Caenorhabditis elegans: one gene and its partner. The protein of the gene in region 1 interacts with the protein of each later gene in a pairwise test. Each region holds a gene or a part of one and is shown on either strand. Other genes may lie near its edges.

What was found.
Region 2: the proteins of pole-4 (region 1) and pole-3 interact in a two-hybrid assay, tested with the Caenorhabditis elegans proteins (2 studies listed by BioGRID).

The regions. Positions count from the first base shown.
Region 1 is NC_003280.10:14,968,105-14,971,414, reverse strand, and holds pole-4 (Transcription factor CBF/NF-Y/archaeal histone domain-containing protein), read left to right. Parts: upstream 1-2,060; 5' UTR 2,061-2,069; coding exon 2,070-2,267; intron 2,268-2,323; coding exon 2,324-2,408; intron 2,409-2,457; coding exon 2,458-2,714; 3' UTR 2,715-2,782; downstream 2,783-3,310. Other genes in the region: metl-2 (tRNA N(3)-methylcytidine methyltransferase), read right to left, coding at 496-1,086, 1,161-1,505; 26S rRNA (cytosine-C(5))-methyltransferase nsun-5, read right to left, coding at 1,666-1,767.
Region 2 is NC_003281.10:6,461,422-6,464,554, reverse strand, and holds pole-3 (DNA polymerase epsilon subunit 3), read left to right. Parts: upstream 1-1,698; 5' UTR 1,699-1,707; coding exon 1,708-1,974; intron 1,975-2,017; coding exon 2,018-2,147; intron 2,148-2,201; coding exon 2,202-2,218; 3' UTR 2,219-2,339; downstream 2,340-3,133. Other genes in the region: dlc-1 (Dynein light chain 1, cytoplasmic), read left to right, coding at 791-882, 1,163-1,340; algn-1 (Chitobiosyldiphosphodolichol beta-mannosyltransferase), read right to left, coding at 2,373-3,133.

The DNA of each region.
Region 1 (3,310 bases):
TTTTTTAGCCAAAATTTGAACCTTTTTCACCAAAAAATTCGAAAAATCCAACGAAAAACCGGATTTTTAGTGGAAAATTCGATATCGATCAGTTTTTACTCGAAAAATAGTGAAAAATAGAATTTTTCGGACATTTTTGAGCCAAAATTTCTGAAATTTTGGACTTTTTCACCAAAAAAAAATTCGAAAAATCCAATTTTCAATGGGAAAATCGAATTTGATCAGTTTTTAGTAGAAAAATTGAATTTTCGCCTATTTTTGAGCCAAAATTTCACAAATTTTGCACCTTTTTCACCAAAAAAAAATTCGAAAAATCCAATTTTCAATTGGAAATTTGAAATTCGATCAGTTTTTACTAGAAAAATTGAATTTTTGCCTTTTTCGAGACAAAATTTCACAATTTTTAGTTATTTTTCACTGAAAAATGAGTTTTCGAGCCGATTTTCTAGATTAAAAACAACAATTTCAATAAAAAAAAAAACAAAAAAAAATCAATTAACAAGACTTCAAAAATTTGCCCTGAATCCACTGCCGGTACATTTTCACTTGTTTCGCTCGATTCACAATGAGCCGTCGATCCACGTGCATCACTTTCTTCTGAAGCCCGTGCTCGGCGAGCAGCGTCTCCAACTCTTCCATATCGAAGAAATAGACCAGGGTTCCGTCTCCTCGGCAGTACAAATTTCCGTCGATTAGTCGATCTTTTTTGAATCGCAACTGCGTTAAATCGTATCTCCCGTAGTCTTTGAGCAGCAGACTTCCACCGGGTTTGAGCAGCCGGACGAGATTTTTCAGAGCATTTTTGATATTATCCGGATGGATAGCCGACAGCACGTAGATACACACAATATAGTCTAGAGATCCGACGTTTGGAGCCTCCTGGGAAGCCGGTTGCGTGATATCCCACACAAATGCGTTCATTTTCTCCGGATCGTAGGCGTCCTGGGATTTCAGGACTCGAATCGCGTTTGGAGCATAATCACAGCTGTGCAGCATGAGCCGGGAGCTGGAATTGTTCACTTGGAGCAGTGGGAACGTGGTATTTCCGACGCCACAGCCAACTTCCAGTATTTCTATCTTTTCTTTCTGAAAATCAAGGTTTTTTTATGTTTTAATGTTTTTTTTTTGAATATTTAATGCTCAAATTACCTGTAAATTACCTGTAAATTACTCTCATCCTCCACATTAAGCTCTGGGAACTCTTTTAACAGCCAATTCCTGTCTTTGAAGAATCTATTCTCATTATGAGCATAAAAAGCATCCCATTGATCCGCTGGGGTGCTTAAAAGCCGCATCGCCTTCTCCTCATCAACCTTCATCGACTTTTGACCTTGCACAATCCGCTGAGCTTCTTCCTGTTGCTCTGGGGACCATTCCACGTCGTCCCATGCGTTGTGCTCGAAAACTTTGGTGTCATCGGTCAAAAATCGGGTTCCGAAGGGGTTGCATTTGGGTTTTTCGTCGGGATTCTCTTCGGCGCAGGCCATGATTGGCTCGTCTTTCATTTTATTACCTGTGAGAATTGGAAAATAATTTAAACAATGGATTTTGAGAGGTAGAAAACGAGATAAAACGGAAGAAAATCCAACAGCAAAAGAAGAAACAGAGCAAATAATAAAATATTGCTTTCCACGAATTGATTTTCCGTAAAACTGCTAAACTAACTTTATACGAACTCCCGTAGACCGCATTTCTCACACTTTTCTCCTTGGCCAAAACGCAGCGGATAATTTCGGCGACCTCGTTGTACAGCGCATCGGTTGCCATCTAAATTTGAATAGTTTTCGACAAAAAATATAATTTTTCAATAGTGGAAAGCAATATTTCAAGATGAAATTGAGAAAAAAAGCAAGAAACATTAGAAAAAAAGAATTAAAAATATTTTTTGCAATGGAGCGCACTTTCTCGTCTGCCTTTGCGCGTGATGGTGTTTGCGTCCAGAGCGGAAAAAATTGAAAATTTGATTTTTTAAATTTATTTTTTTTCTGATTTTTCGCATTTTAAAATGCATTTTCTATTGTTTTTCTTCAAATATTTGCTTAATTTTGAATATTTTTCAGATTTAAAACATGGCCTGGCGAAAGAAAACCAAGAAAGCCGCTCCGATCGCGCAAATGAGCGAGGAGGACGTGCGAGAAATCGAGGAGCACGTCGAAGAGCTCGTCCGATCGCAATTGCCACTGGGAAGAGTCAAAAAAGTGGTCAGAATGAATCCGGACGTCGAGATGCTCAACAATGAGGCACTGCAATTGATGGCGAAGGCGGCGGTGAGAGAAAATCGCATTTTTTCTTCGAATTTTCATTATATTTTTTTAATTTCCAGGAGCTCTTCATCAAGGAGCTGAGCAACGCGGCGAATCAGAACGCAGCGCTGGAAAAACGAAAAACCGTCCAGACGAAGGACATTGGTTGGTGGAAAAAACTCAAATTTCAGCTAATAAAATCGATTTTTTGCAGATAAAGCTATCAAGAAGACGTGGGCCTTCGCTTTCCTGGAAGATGCTCTGGATGGGTGGCCGAAGTTGGAGCCAAAGAAGCGAAAAGTGAATGCGAATTCCGGTCAGGATGAGACGGTTGTAGAGGAGGAAACGATTATCGAGGAAGAAGAGGAGATCCACGTGGAAGAAGAAGAAGATGAAGAGCTTCCGGAGACCGTTCTCGAAATCGATGAAAATGAAGAAATCGCGAGAGATAAATTTGCCGAGCAATTTTGATTTTATATATTTTTGTATTTAGTTTTGATTTTTTTCTCTTTATTTGAATAAATTTACTTACATCAACGATTTATTCTTCTTCGTCTAGTCACTTTTTTTTCAGGGAAAATAAATTTTCAGGAAGGTCCTTCGGAATTAGAAATGGACAGCAATTTTTGATTTTTTTTTTCGCCAAAAATACGGTATCGGGTCTCGACGCGACAAATTTTTGAAAAATATGTGCGCCTTTAAAGAGTACTGTAGTTTCAAACTTTCGTCGCTGTTGAATTTTAATCGATTTTTAAAAAAGTTTTCTTTGATTTATAATTATGATATATTCATGAGTTAAAAATATATTTATTCATATTAATCCTGAAAATATGAAAAAATCAATAAAACTCCAAAGCAATAAAAGTTTGAATATACAGTACTATTTAAAGGCACACACCCTTTTGCATTTAACAAAAATGTATTTATTTATCGTGTTGAGACCGGTTTCGCGTGTAATTTGGAAATGACTCAATTTTTTTAAGTAAAAAATTTTTTTTTTAAGTAACGAAAATACTTTTAAAAAACATGCGAAATCATTTGAATTTACGGTTTTGCCGCAAATACCT
Region 2 (3,133 bases), on another chromosome or scaffold:
CCAACGCCCTTCACTTTTTCTTTTTTTTCTCCTTCTTCTCGCTCCCACCAACACCCCAAAACATTTTGAAATACGCGGGCACGCGCCTGTTTGCATTTGAGTGCGCGCGCATTGCCCCGACGACAGCCGAGTCGCACACTCCAACACAGCCGGGTCGCGTGCGACGCGGCTGTGCAGCGTGCGACGCGCCCCGCCTATCTCGCTCTCGGCTTCGCTCAGCCATCTTCTCTTTCGTCTCCCAATGCCACCCATTCCTCCACTCTTTGAAACTGTTATCTTTTGGCTCACTTCATTCTCCTCCACTTTCGATATCTTTTCTCTGTTGTCTTACGAATGCTGCTGCTGATAAATGCGTACAATCTGATGTGTACTCTTATCGAAAAAGTAGCCTGTTTGTTGACATGAAATATCTTTTGAAAAAAGTTCCCGATGACACATAACTGGGGAACTCTTCTTCTTTCATCTATTTCATTATTTCTAAACTGTTCAGATTTAAACAATTCACGTCAAAAGTTTTTCATGTTGCGGGCGCAAATACTCTGTACTCAAGTGCCTCCGAGCTTTGCAAATTATATTTTTAATACTCTGAAGAGCCTTATTCGTACTAACATACTCCTGTTTCGTGTCATAAATTGGGTCGCTCAAATAATTACCTTGCCGTTCTTCCATTATCCTTATCTATCTCTTTGACCTCCGCATTCCGCATTCACAACCGTTATTATAACTACTACCGAGTACCCGGTGTTCAATTAATTTAATTTTGTATTTTTTGCAGCCAAATCCGTTCAAAATGGTTGACCGCAAGGCTGTGATCAAGAATGCCGACATGTCCGATGACATGCAACAGGACGCCATCGACTGCGCCACCCAGGCCCTCGAGAAGTGAGTTATGAGCTTTCTCATTGCATTTTAAACGCTTGAATAATTCGATTGCCATGAACAACACTTGGTCGCTTAGTAGAGAAAAAGTGTAAAGAAATGTCGTTTAGCTGTTTGGAACGGCTCATCGGTCCCTTGATTTAAACTAAAGTGGACGGCAGCCCGAGTCTAGGGGAGGGGGCGAGCAGGAGCGACCAGCTGATCGAACAAATCTGATCCTTGTGCAAGAAAAAAGCGAAGCGATGAAAGTCTAAAAAATAAAATCAAAACATTTTTTTTTCAGATACAACATCGAGAAGGATATTGCCGCTTACATCAAGAAGGAGTTCGACAAGAAATACAACCCAACCTGGCATTGCATCGTCGGAAGAAACTTTGGAAGCTACGTGACCCACGAGACTAAGCACTTTATCTACTTCTACCTTGGACAGGTCGCCATCCTGCTATTCAAGTCTGGATAAATCCCATCCTGTTCTTAAAAAACATTCAATGATCTTTAAATTGTGACCTGATCCTACGTGTACCTTAGGTGGCGTAGGATCTTCAGTGTGCACTCTTGTTAAATCTTCCTTTTCCTCCCAAAAAACATTTTCCTTCGTCGCATTCTATTTATTTAGCTCAAACTGTTCATTTTCTTTGAATCTTCCTCCATCACCCATAAATCTTCTTACGTTGTCCGTTTTTGAGAGAAAAGAGAACTCATAATATTTTTGTTCTCGAAAAGTGCTCGCACTAAAAGTAAAAATAAAAGGATAGCTTTAAATCCCTTAATTATCTGTGCTTCATTTTTATACTCGAAACTGAACAAGGCAATAATTTAAGATAGAAATGTCATCAAACGATGTGGATCAAAACGATGATCGAATTGCTCAAATGATGATGCCAGCAGCAATTGTGACTCGGCTCATGAAAGAAGACAATATTTCTGCATCAAAAGATGCTCGAGACGTCATCGCTCGTGCTGCAGCAGTGTTTCTCATAAACTTGTCCGACGTTTCGGCTCAATCTGCTCGCGATCAGAAGCACAAGACGATCTCAGGAGATGATGTTGTCAAAGGACTCCGAGAGCTTGAGAATACTTCTATTCACAATCATGTAATTATGGGTTTCGAAAGAGTTAAGAAATTAAAATTTCCAGTGCAAGTCCGCCAACGATAAATGGAAAGTTATTAGTCAGCAGAAGGCTCTCGCTCGTAAAAATCCAGTTGAATCCAGCTCTGTCAATGCTGAAATGGATGACGACATTATTGACGATACTCCTGTCGATGGTTAGTTCTATTCTTTAAATCTGAAGTTTATCTGAATAATTTATAATATTGCAGATTCATTGATGAACTGATCACTCATAACCAACTCATTCCTGCTCAAAACGATCCTTCCTGTAAAATCTCATTCCGATTCTCAACGCGTGTCCCACTTTTGTCTCTAACATTTCACTTTGATAAACAATTTTGGCCAATAGTTTATTGAATGTACAAAACCCCGAAAAAAAATTAAAGCGATCTGAATGCCCCCGAAAAAGTGCCCATAAATAAGTGAATCGGCATGATCAATAAAATAGCGAAAAATGAGAATTGAATAATTGCACGAAGTTTGGCGAATCCATTGTCTGGAACTCGAAAGTCTGCACCAGAGGTAGCTGATCTCTTCCACATCACTTCCCAAGAATCGAATTTTTGCTCCTGTGTATTCTTCTTGAGCCGTATCAATTCATTGCAATTATTTGGGAATCCACGAGAAAGTTCAATAATTTGACGACTCAACTGCTCAGAATCATCGAAAAGATATCCATTAGTTTTCTCCTCAACGAGCTCATCAATACATTTGAATTTTAGAGCCAATGCTGGAACTTTAGCTCCAAACATATCAACAACTTTCATCGGAAGATCCAATCCAGACGTGCTTGTGTGCAAAGAGATTCCTAAGTCAGCAGAGGCTAGAATCTTTGGATAATCTTCTGCTTCCAACCATGGAGTCAATACATCGACATTCTTCAGATTTTTCTCGTGAATTTCTTGTAAATATTTCGCTTTCAGTGGACCTTTTCCAGTGATAATCATCAAAACTCGCGGGAGTCCGATTGTTTTGTCATATGCAACCAGCGCATCGAGAAGAATTTCAAACCGTTCATCAGGTGTCCAGGATGTGGAAGAGAGAAACACAATGGGTCGAGTTGTTAGTAGCTGCACTACTCCGTTCGAAGATTTATGAGTCAGAATTGTGGAGTCTTCGTCTTTTCCTTGTAGAATTCGTT